Linked DNA regions of Canis lupus familiaris. The protein of the gene in region 1 binds, or shares a complex with, the protein of each later gene. Links are inferred from orthologs where the notes say so. Each region holds a gene or a part of one and is shown in the gene's direction. Other genes may lie near its edges. The genes, in order: CFB, CFD and CFP.

Evidence for each region.
Region 2: the proteins of CFB (region 1) and CFD are in contact, whole or in part, in a crystal structure (PDB 2XWB), measured with the Homo sapiens proteins. The link is inferred for Canis lupus familiaris from reciprocal best matches to the Homo sapiens genes CFB and CFD. Residues at the interface, in NP_001701.2 of Homo sapiens: Glu298, Ala301, Ser302, Ala332, Asp333, Ile469, Asp470, Glu471, Ser472, Glu518, Tyr519, Lys585, Asp758, Glu759, Asp760; in NP_001919.2 of Homo sapiens: Asn157, His158, Ala159, Gly160, Arg161, Arg162, Arg182, Thr183, Asp186, Arg200, Val228, Cys229, Gly230, Asn231, Arg232, Lys233.
Region 3: the proteins of CFB (region 1) and CFP are in contact, whole or in part, in a crystal structure (PDB 7NOZ), measured with the Homo sapiens proteins. The link is inferred for Canis lupus familiaris from reciprocal best matches to the Homo sapiens genes CFB and CFP. Residues at the interface, in NP_001701.2 of Homo sapiens: Glu54, Gln56, Ser78, Thr316, Tyr317, Leu349, Ser351, Met394; in NP_001138724.1 of Homo sapiens: Arg329, Arg330, Asn331, Lys333, Pro341, Met420, Val421.

Annotation. Positions count from the first base shown.
Region 1 is NC_049233.1:1,532,027-1,536,221, forward strand, and holds the start of CFB (complement factor B), read left to right. Parts: upstream 1-1,395; 5' UTR 1,396-1,534; coding exon 1,535-1,598; intron 1,599-1,688; coding exon 1,689-1,922; intron 1,923-2,331; coding exon 2,332-2,517; intron 2,518-2,668; coding exon 2,669-2,842; intron 2,843-3,082; coding exon 3,083-3,184; intron 3,185-3,284; coding exon 3,285-3,421; intron 3,422-3,689; coding exon 3,690-3,828; intron 3,829-4,150; coding exon 4,151-4,195. Other genes in the region: complement C2, read left to right, coding at 90-216, 383-432, 583-753.
Region 2 is NC_049241.1:58,264,719-58,268,670, reverse strand, and holds CFD (complement factor D), read left to right. Parts: upstream 1-1,152; 5' UTR 1,153-1,310; intron 1,311-1,972; 5' UTR 1,973-1,985; coding exon 1,986-2,461; intron 2,462-2,550; coding exon 2,551-2,695; intron 2,696-2,781; coding exon 2,782-3,039; intron 3,040-3,411; coding exon 3,412-3,573; 3' UTR 3,574-3,630; downstream 3,631-3,952.
Region 3 is NC_049260.1:41,447,668-41,450,913, reverse strand, and holds the end of CFP (properdin), read left to right. Parts: intron 1-150; coding exon 151-324; intron 325-574; coding exon 575-763; intron 764-970; coding exon 971-1,082; intron 1,083-2,514; coding exon 2,515-2,680; 3' UTR 2,681-2,746; downstream 2,747-3,246. UniProt on the Homo sapiens protein: A positive regulator of the alternate pathway (AP) of complement. It binds to and stabilizes the C3- and C5-convertase enzyme complexes. Inhibits CFI-CFH mediated degradation of Complement C3 beta chain (C3b).

The DNA of each region.
Region 1 (4,195 bases):
CATGCCACCTCCCCTCCAAGGCTAGCAACTGTAGGTAGCCCCTGGGACTGCTCATTCCATCCCTCTGTCCCACTCTGCCCCTGCTGCAGTGGACAAGCTGTATTGAGGCCGTTTCCCAAGACAAAGCTATATTCCCCAACTTGAAGGATGTCCGAGAGGTGGTGACAGACCAGTTCCTATGCAGTGGGACAGGGAAGGATGACAATCCCTGCAAGGGTAAGTCCCTCCCACCCCCCCACCCCCACCCCGAGCCTGGATGGCTGAGGGAGAGACCACCGCCGTCCCTGCGGCCAGCATGCATGCCAAGACAGTGGTGCACTGCCCTGACGACAGGGGCAGGGTGAGAGTCAGAATGACAATTTCTTGTCCCTCCTTCTGGCAGGAGAATCTGGGGGAGCAGTTTTCCTTGAGCGGAGACACAGGTTTTTTCAGGTGAGGAGAGAAGGGGGATACTTACAGGAATGGGGTTACAAGATCATGGCCTTGCAGGGAGACGAGGGCGGCCTTTGAAGGAACTGGGGAGGTTGAGGCTTGGAGCTGAGGCTGTGACAGCCTCCCACCCCATTTCTCTCCCTCTTCCAGGTGGGCCTGGTGAGTTGGGGTCTCTACAACCCCTGTAGCAAGAGTAATAAAAACTCACGCCAGAGGCCCCCCAAGGGCAAGGAACCACGAGATTTTCACATAAACCTCTTTCGCCTGCAGCCCTGGCTGCGGCAGCACCTGGAGGATATCCTGAACTTCTTACCCCTCTAATTGTGGCCACCCATCCCTCTGTTGTCCTGCCAGCATCTGCCATCTGTCTTGTCTCGCACCCTTGAACTCAGACCCATGACCCATCTGTGCTCCCGGCAACCCCAGAGAAGCACATCCAGGCTGGGGAATCCCCAGGGGCGCACCCTCTCCTTTCCTTGACTCACTCTCCTTTCACTCATGTGGAATTACCCAGTTATGAAATTAATAAAAATCGACAATGTCCTCATCTGTCTGTGCCTCTACCTGGGGGGTGGCCGGGGGCGGGGGGAGGGGAGAGCGGAGGAAGGCCAGAATGATTCCAGGAACTGCAGGGAGGCAGGTCACGGACCCTGGCGCACAAACAGTGGCTGGACTCTGCTCTGTGACAGAGTGGACAGGGAGTGAGCCAGCCTTTATTTTTGGTCCCTAAGGGGGTGGTCTGGGCTTGTTGGGGGAGGAACTGGGGCTGAGAGGTGGTGTTGAAGGTGTCAGTCCAGGTTCACCGCAGCAAAGGGCAGGGCTTAGGCAGTTTCTATTTCCTTGACTGGCAGCTCTGCGGGGTGGGGGTGGAGGGCTCCCTCTTGGACATTCCGGAAAGTGGTGTGGGTCAGGTGGGCGGGGTGAGCCGCCAGTGCCAGAACAGATTGCATAAAGGGCCGGAGGTGGTGGGGGGGCAGGGGAAGAGACAGCAACCAGACTCAGGTCTGAAGTTTCGGCTTGGGTGCTGAGCGAAGCAGACAGGCAGCACCAGCCCGCAGAGACCACCCTGTCCCCACCCCCAGTCTCTCCTGCTCCCATCACCATGGGGAGCACTCTCATGCCTCAACTCTGCCTTATATCCTTGGTGCTGGGTCTCTTGTCTGGAGGTAAGAGAGGGTCACCACTCCCCCTTCCTGCTGCCCCCAGCTTCTTTCCTTGGCCTTGTGAGGCTGGGCTTCAACAGCCTTTCTCTTCAGGTGGGAGTGCCACGCCATTGTCTGAGGCCAGGCCCCAAGGCCCCTGCCCTCTGGAGGGAGTACAGATCAAAGGTGGCTCCTTCAGACTGCTCAAGGAGGGCCAGGCGCTGGAGTACCTGTGTCCCTCTGGCTTCTACCCATACCCCGTGCAGGCTCGCACCTGCAGATCCACGGGGTCCTGGAGCACCCTGCAGACCCAAGACAAAATGGTTGTCAAGAAGGCAGAATGCAGAGGTTGGAGGGCAGTGAGGGTGGGCACGGGGTGATGCAGGGATGGAGCAGGTGGTGGCCGAGGCCCAGCCTAGGACGCTGTGAGAGTTGGGTGGAGACCAAGCAGGTTGAGGGGTGAGGATGCTGAGCAAGTGCAGCAGCTGTCGAGGACTGAAGGGAGGGGGGTGGAAGAAGGGAGCGAATCTTCACTGAGCATTTATCCTGTGCCAGGCAGCCCCGGCAGTGAAAGGAACACTGAGAAAGGGGGAGCATGGAGAAGCAGGACTCATCATGGGTCAGGGGTAGGCGTGGTTTCTGAGGGACCAGAAAGACCCTATGTCTTTGTGATAGGGTCCCTGAGGCCCGGAGGGAGACTCTCAAGAGCAGCCCTAACTTCTCAGTAACTTCTGCTTGTCCTCCCCCTCCCCCAAAGCAATTCGGTGCCCAAGACCACAGGAGTTTGAGAATGGGGACTACTGGCCCCGGGCGTCCTACTACAATGTGAGTGATGAGATCTCTTTCCGCTGCTATGATGGTTTTACTCTCCGGGGCTCCGCTAACCGCACCTGCCAGGCCACAGGTCGCTGGGACGGACAGACGGCCATCTGTGATGATGGAGGTGAGCAGCATCCCCTCCCCCGTCGACGGGATCCTCTCCCTCCTGGGGGCCGTGTTCCAGCCTGAGGAAGGGGCGTCACAACTCCTGTGCTCTCCTGTGCCATCCGGGCCTCAGGCTTTGGCTCTCACCTCCGCATCTCGTGCTTCTGTAGCGGGCTACTGCCCCAACCCGGGCATCCCCATTGGCACAAGGAAGGTGGGCATCAACTACCGCCTTGAAGACAGAGTCACCTACTACTGCAGCCGAGGCCTCACCCTGCGTGGCTCCCAGCAGCGGACATGCCAGGAAGGCGGCTCTTGGAGTGGAACCGAGCCTTCCTGCCAAGGTGATGCTTGCCCCATGCCCTCAGGTTCAGATCCCGCTCTTTCATCCTCCTGTCCCTACCCCAGAGCCCTGTCTTCTCCCTGTAGTGCAGCCCAGCTCCTCCCCTCGCTTCACCTGCCCCTAGAACGTCCTCACTGCGGAGCCCTTCCTGCCCCGAAACCCACCTACTGTCCCGTCCCTGTCCATGTGTCTCTGGCCCTCCCCCCACCCTGACACGTGACCTGCTTTCTGCCCTCCCCAGACTCCTTTATGTATGACACCCCTGAAGAGGTAGCCGAAGCCTTCCTGTCGTCCCTGACTGAGACCATAGAGGGCGTGGATGCTGAGGATGGCCACATCCCAGGTTTGAGTGCAGACCACGGAGGGAGGCAGGGAACTAGGGGAGGACGAAGAGGCAGGAGGACCCTGCGTGCCAGAGCCTGAGTTTTTCTGGTGGCACCCAGGGGAGCAGCAAAAGAGGAAGATTGTCCTGGACCCGTCGGGCTCCATGAACATCTACCTGGTGCTGGACGGATCAGACAGCATCGGGGCTGGCAACTTCACAAGAGCCAAGAACTGTCTCCGGGACTTCATTGAGAAGGTGGGGCCCCTGCTAGAACTAGTTCCCTGGTGTCCCCAGCCCCTCTGGGCTGCAGAACCTCAGAAAACCTCTGGTCCTATACTGTCTTTCCTCCTTTTTACTTGAAGTCGTTTCTTGACCTTTCACCCCATCACCCAGGCAAACCTCAGGGTGACCCATGAGCCTTTGGGTTTCTGAGGAAAACCTTCCCTGTCCCAGAGAAGCTGCTGACCTCTCCCAACCCTAGTCTTCTTTCAACGCCATGACCCTTTGCTCCCCTAACCCACAGGTGGCAAGTTATGGGGTGAAGCCAAAATATGGTCTAGTGACATATGCTACAAACCCCAAAGTCTGGGTCCGAGTGAGGGACAAAAACAGCAGCGATGCCGACTGGGTCACAAAGATACTCAACCAAGTCAGCTATGAAGGTCAGAGGTCAGGGAAGGGACTGGTGGAGGAGGGGTCACTTTGGAATCAGAGAAGTCAAAAGACTCAGGGTGGTTGTGGGGAGACCACGTGAGAAATCAGGGAAGACCACTTTGCGTCTGGGGTTAGACGGCAGACTTGTTGGTGAATATGGGTCACCGGGGACCTATCGGGGGCTGAGGAGGTCACTTTTGTGGCCAAAGGAAAGCCAGTGGGGTGGCAACTCAAGAACCTGAGAGATGTGGGATTTCAGTTGTTGGCGGGCCTCTCAGGGTCATGGATGACTTAGCCAACCAGGCAAGGTGACCGCTTCCCTTTCCCCAGATCACATGTTGAAGTCCGGGACCAACACCAAGAAGGCCCTGGAGG
Region 2 (3,952 bases), on another chromosome or scaffold:
GGCTCACGGACGGAACCACGGCAGCTGCTGAGGCCTGCGCTGTGGCAGGTGCGCCCCGAGGGCCCCCGGCTGGCCCTCTGTGTCCCCGACAGGTGACGAGGTACAGGTCCAGGCAGGGGTGAAGCCGCACCCGGGAGCCCACGCTGGAGCCCCAGCTCTGTGACCGGTCAACTTCCCTGAGCCCGTTTCCGTTAATTTTTTTTTAAGTTTTTAATTTTGTTTATTTTTTAATTTTAAATTTTCTTTATTTTTTAAAAGATTTTATTTATTTATTCATAAGAGACATACAAAGAGACAGAGAGGTTGAGAGAGGAAGACCGGCAGAGACCCAGGCAGAGGGAGAAGCAGGCTCCGTGCGGGGAGCCCGAGGCGGGACTCGATCCGGGACCCGGGGTCACGCCCTGGGCCAGAGGCAGATGCTCACCCGCCGAGCCCCACAGGCGCCCCCACCCTGAGCCTGTTTCCCTGCAGGAAGTACCGAGGCGAGGGTCCGCGTCCCAGCCGCCCCCCACCTGCACTCCTGATGGAGATCACAGCAGGGGCTCCCGGGCGGGGCTCTGGCCCTGGGGCCCCACGGCCTTGGCCGGTCCCTGGCGGCCCCCTCCCTACGCGGCGTCCGGCTGCCGTGCGATTGGCCCTTCAGCCTAGTATTGCACCATATACCCTGGCGGTGTCTCCGCGGCCACCGGGCCCCTGGGGGTGCTCGGGGCCCTTTGTCAAACCGCCGTCTTGCCGAGTCGTCCCCAAGCCTTGCTGAGATGCCCACCTCTTCCAGGAGCTGGGCTCCATCCCCTACAGGACTTGTTTGGCTACTGACCTCAGCAAGGAAACCTGTCAGGATCTAGCAAATCACGGTCGTGTTCTGTCCATCCTTCTCTGTGTATGCAACAGTCCACGGCGAAGAGAAAGAAGGGCAACGTTGCGCAATGCGCCCATTGGGGACGTCCAAGGTCCACCCCACCCTCATGGTCCCAGCACTGGCCCCGCTGTGGGTTCGTGAGACGTGGATCTGTCGTCCCCCCCTGCTAGAGAGGGCCATGTAACCCTTGGCTGACCAGAATCTGCCATCCCTTGCTCACAGCGATTGGTTTGGGAGGGGACACGTGAGGGAAGCTCAGCTAATCAGCACGGCCTGGACAAGTTGGCTGGAAGGATGGAGGATTTGGGAGGGGCCTGCCCAGCCACTGGGCTGGGTCTGGGGCTTTTGGGGTCACAACGAGGGAGACTGTTGAGGAGAAAAGCCACCGAGGAGGAAAGGAGAAACCACAGACAGAGATAGTTCAGGCTCCTGGATCAAACCACACCTGAAGGTAGGCCCCCCTGAAATTCCCATTTAAATTTCCTTGTTGAAGACTCTACCGAGTTCAACTTGGTAGTTTTTCTAAGAGATTTATTTCTTTGAGAGACAGAGAGAGAGAGAAAGAGAGAGAGAGGGAGAAAGAATGAGCATGGGCAGTGGGGAGGGGCAGAAGGAGCATCAGGCTCCTCGCTGAGCGGGGAGCCCAGGACCCGGGATCGTGATCTGAGCCGAAGACGCACGCATCATCCCGACTGAGCCACCCAGGTGCCCCTCGGCTTGGCTTTTCTGTCACTTGTAGCCCACAGTTCCTCCAGCTGCCTCCACACCGCCTCTTTAATATGCGCCTCGTTGGGGTGTCAGGCCCCGGTGCCCCTGGGGACGAGCATGTCAGGCCACCTCCCATCCCCACCCTGACCTCTCCTCCAAGTTGGGGGAGGAAGAGAAACAAGAGAAGGGCGGAAATATGAGGAAGTTGGTTGTTTATAAACTGTGGTCTCCAGCTGCTGTTGCAAAACTTGGGGCGGGGAGAGCACCCTGGGGAGATGGGGGGGCAGCGGGGCCGGGCCTGCTCTGGCCTCTGCGCGTCCTGGGCTCGGCTGCCACAGGGCCAGGCCAGCAGGTGGGTGTGCGGAGCGCTGCCCCCCGCCCGGCTCACACGCGTGCCCGTCCCAGGCCCCACGGCAGCATGGCCCCCCGCCTCGGCCCGGTGCCCCTGGTGCCCCTGGTGCTGCTAGGAGCCGCCCTGTGTGGTGAGTGGACCTGGGCCCAGGGGACCGGGCGGGCGGGCAGCCGGGGAGGGGAGGCGCGGCTCCACCTGGACGGGGGCTCTGCACCCGAGGGACTCCCCGAGGCGGGAGCGCCAGGGCCGAGCTCTGCCCACGCGGGGCCCACGCAGGACGCAGCCCCGCGGGCCGAGCTCGCGCTGAGCCCGGAGGCGCCGCGTGGGGCGCGGGCTTGGCCCAGACCCCCGTCACCCGCCCCCCGCCTGCCCCTCCCCCCCGCAGCCGCGCAGCCTCGTGGGCGCATCCTGGGCGGGAGCGAGGCCGAGTCCCACGCGCGGCCCTACATGGCGTCGGTGCAGGTGGACGGCAAGCACGTGTGCGGCGGCTTCCTGGTGTCGGAGCGCTGGGTGCTGAGCGCGGCGCACTGCCTGGAGGACGTGTGAGCGGCGGGCGCGGCGGGCGCGGAGGGGCGCGGCGGGGCGGGGCGGGGCGCCGCGGACGAGGCTGTGACCCCAACCCCGCTCCCAGGGCCGACGGGAAGGTGCGGGTGCTCCTGGGCGCGCACTCCCTGTCGCAGCCGGAGCCGTCCAAGCGCTGGTACGACGTGCTGCGGGCGGTGCCCCACCCCGACAGCCGGCGCGACACCATCGAGCACGACCTCCTCCTGCTGCAGGTGAGCACCTGGGCCGCCGCGGGGGCCGCCACCTGGGCCGCAGGCCCGCCCCGCGCCGCCCTGACCCCGCGCCGCCCCCTCCGCAGCTGTCCGAGGACGCCGAGCTGGGCCCCGCCGTGCAGCCCCTGCGCTGGCAGCGCGAGGACCGCGACGTGGCGGCCGGGACGCGCTGCGACGTGGCGGGCTGGGGCGTGGTCAGCCACACGGGCCGCCGGCCCGACCGCCTGCAGCACCTGATCCTGCCGGTGCTCGACCGCGCCACCTGCAACCTGCGCACGTACCACGACGGCACCATCACGGAGCGCATGATGTGCGCGGAGAGCAACCGCCGGGACAGCTGCAAGGTGCGCGGGCGGGGCGGGGCAGCAGGGTGGGCGGGGCCACCGAGGGGGCGGGGCCGGCGGGGTGGGCGGGGCCACCGAGGGGCGGTGGCAACAGGATGGGCGGGGCCACCGAGGGGCGGGGGCCGGCGGGGTGGGCGGGGCCACCGAGGGGCGGTGGCAACGGGATGGGCGGGGCCACCGAGGGGCGGTGGCAACAGGATGGGCGGGGCCACCGAGGGGCGGGGCCGGCGGGGTGGGCGGGGCCACCGAGGGGCGGGGCCGGCGGGGTGGGCGGGGCCGGACCACCGCGGGGCGGGGCCCGACCCGGGTCAGACCAGGTGCGCAGGCGAGGGGCGAGGCCGCGGGCGCCGCGCTCACGGCCCGTCCCCGCAGGGCGACTCCGGGGGCCCGCTGGTGTGCGGCGGCGTGGCCGAGGCCGTGGTCACCTCGGGCTCGCGCGTGTGCGGCAACCGCAAGAAGCCCGGCATCTACACGCGCGTGGCGAGCTACGCGGCCTGGATCGACGGCGTGATGGCCGGGGGCGCGGCCGCCTGAGGAGGCCCGGGGGGCGGCGGGCGCGGGGGCCGAGCAATAAAGTCCTGTCCTGCATGAGCCCCGCCCGCTGAGCACGCGCCGCCGGCCGCGGGGCGGGGACCCGAGGGCGCAGGTCCCCGCTTGGCCGCACGGGGGCGCCCCGAGTCTTCCACCCGAGATGGAGGGGCTGGGTGGGGGTCCACGCGGAGGTGCCGCCTCCGCCCAGCGATGTCCGGCCTCCTCCGTCGGGTCTTCCCCACCGTGTGCGGGGCCCTGCTCCGGACTGAGCACCCTCTGAAGTCAAGCTGTTCTTGTGACCCACGGCCCACGTGGGGAAACTGAGGCTCGGGTCCGAGGGAGCCCCCGGGCAGAGCCTGCATTTGGCCCCAGAGCCACGGCA
Region 3 (3,246 bases), on another chromosome or scaffold:
GAACAGATGCTCTGCCATCTCAGAGGATAGAGGTCTTAGAGCACGTGACCGCAGAACTCTTCATTCTGGAACAATCTGCCTCAAGAGTCTAGGGGCTGAGGGGGAGATCGAGGTGGCCTATCTTCTCATTCCTCTCTCTACCCCCAACAGTGGCTGGGGGCTGGGGGGCGTGGGGCCCTGTGAGCCCCTGCCCTGTGACCTGTGGCATGGGCCAGACCCTGGAAAAACGGATGTGTAATCACCCTGCGCCCCAGCATGGGGGCCCCCCCTGCGCTGGCGATGCCGTCCGAACCCACATCTGCAATACAGCTGTGCCCTGCCCTGGTCGGTACCACAAGATTCCCTGTCTCCATGCCTAAGCCTCTCACCCATCCCTGCTGCCCAGTTCCTGCTGCTAATGCTTTGCTCCTGCCTCTCATTCCCCTATTCCCAGCCCTGTTGCTTCCGCCCCACCTCTGGTCCCCCAGCCCCACATCTGATCACCTCCACTCCTTCCCCTGGGTTTTCATCCCTTCCTCTGAATCCCCTCACTGGCTCCCTTTGGTGCAAGCCCTGGTTGCCCCTGTCTGTGCAGTGAATGGAGAGTGGGGGTCCTGGGAGGAGTGGAGCACTTGTGCCCGTCGGGGCATAAACATCATGTGTAAGGCGATCCCAGGCCAGCAGACACGCTCCAGGAGCTGCAAGGGCCGCAAGTTTGATGGACAGCGGTGTGTTGGAGAACAACAAGATATCCGTCACTGTTACAACATTCAACACTGTGACTGTGAGTGTTCCCCACAGACTACACTGTGAGGATGGGGCAGCCCCTGCAGCAAGAAGGGGTTTCTGACTCTACCATGGACCCCCATGTCCCTGCCACCTCTCAGTCTCTCTCTCTCTCTCTCTCTCTCTCTCTCTCTCACACACACACACACACACACACACACACACACACCACCCTGCTGAGACCTCTCATTCTGACTCATTGCAGGGAAAGGCTTATGGTCAGAGTGGAGTACCTGGGGTCTGTGCGTACCCCCATGTGGACCCATGCCCATCCGCACCCGCCAGCGCCTCTGCATGGCCCAGCTCCCCAAGTTCTCGTAAGTGAGGGGGCAAAATGTGCTCAGGAGGGGGTCACGACAGCCATATGTGAGCAGTGATGGTGGGAGAGTCAGCTCAGCTCCCCACAACCAGGGCATCCACCCCTTGGGTCTATGGTACCTGCCTTGACGAGTGTTATCTCCCACCTGCAGGAAGAGGAGAGACACTAATGAAGCAGCTGAGAAAGAGGATACTGAGGGGGAGAATCAGTGGCCACTGTGCCCTTGGGTCTCTCATTTGGTCACTCAGCCATCCTGCCGCTCACCCAGGCTTTCCTGTGACCAGGCACTTGGCCCTTTTGGTCACCCAAGCTTGGGTCTGCCCCTAAAGCCACTCAGGCCTTCGTTCTCTTACTCATTCCTTCAGCCACCCACATCTCACTCAATGTCTCACGGCCTCAGGACCTGGGAGGCTTTCCCCCAACAATTGAAAACACACAGAACCCAGGTCCCATGGGTCCCCCCAAGGGATACAGGTCAACAAGGGCCTGACAGAAGGCAGATGAGGAACAGTTGGTACAATGGAGAAGGGACTGATACCTCGCCCCAAGTCCATGTAGCCAATCGGATCTCACCTGGCAGGAAGGGGTCAGCAAAGGCATTCCCAGTGTTAAGACTGTGAGAGCAGAGTCCTGGATACTGGTGACCAGCTGCCCAAAGTTGGTTTTTCCTGGGGGCCTAGGTGTTAACAGAGGGTAAAAACATCATCCCTTCTTTATTTCCACATACCTCGAGCCACTAGATTAAGTGAGCTACACTCCACTTGTGAAACACCTGCCATCTGGAAGTGGTCTCTGGTTCTGGGGTTTCTAGTAGGTCCTGAAGAAGAGTTAAAGGTGTTGAGTAGAGGTAGGAAGCACTTGGCAGAGTTGGGATATGAATGGATTTGATGGAGGGAACAGGGGTGAGAGTGAATGAATGGAATGCATGTCTCATGGGAGGAACAAAGGTCCAGGCAAAGGTCCAGGCAAAGACCACTCTGGACATGGGACTGTGGATAAAGTGGAAAAGAGAGATCTTGGGGCAGGCACCTGGGCCCCAAAACAAGGCCTTGAATACCAGGGCAAAGCATTTGGGGACTTTTCCCCATGGGCACTGGGGAAAGATATAAGGAGTTTAGGAGGTAAGAGAAGGTAGGTCTTGTCAACGAGTAACAATTACCAGCATTTATTGAGTACTTACTGTGTACCAGACGCCACTCTGAGCACTTTACCAAAATTAATTCATTTATCCTCACTCAGCCCAGTAAGGTGGGTATTATTATTATTCCAATTATTCTCATTTTCCAGATGAGCATGGGGAAGATAAATTGCCCAATATCTCATAGGTAAAAAATAGTGTTGGGCACACAGTAGGTATTCATTATGAGTTTATTGAATGCATTCTTACCTTCCCTGAGCTTCTCCCCTCCATTCCCCCTCTAATGCCCCAGGCCAACCATTACTGTGGTCGAAGGTCAGGGTGAGAAGAACGTGACCTTCTGGGGGAAACCTTCAGCACAGTGCGAGACGCTGCAGGGGCAGAAGGTGGTGGTGGAGGAGACTCGGCCATGTCTACACGTGCCTGCCTGCAAAGACCCTCAGGATGAGAAGCCCTAACACCTGTCTCTTCTGCCCTGATCCCCTGACCTCCCAGACCTCAATAAATGAGCCTCTTCCCCAGGAGTGAAGCAGTAGCATCTTCTAGGCCAAAAGGCACAGCACGGGCAGAGTCGCTGTGGCTTGTTGTGGAAAACAGTATTTTCCATTGCGGCCACGGTTTGGCAGGAGCGAAGGCGCGAGTACCCATCCCCTCCCCGCTGCCTTAGCCCCAGCGTCTGCCCCTCTCCCCTCCTTGCGCCAAGTCCCAGGGCGTCCGGCACATCCCTCTGCAGAGCTCTGCGTTACAGGCTTTCTGGTTGGTCACTCGGCCCGGCCGGCACTTTCTGATTGGCCGGCGTGCCCGAGGTTCCCACCCGTCGGAGCCTCTGGGCTGGCGGGTTGCGCATCAATCCGGTGCTGAGCCGCACAGCAGAGGCGGCAGAGGTGTGGCTGGGGTTGGCACTCCGCCGGCGAACACCTGCACCCACCCACTCTCAGCAGCCCAGATCCAGTGCTGCAATTAACGGAGACCCAAAGTGGGGTGGCGGTTGGCCGGGGGTGGACCGAGGAAGTGCCTACGAGGT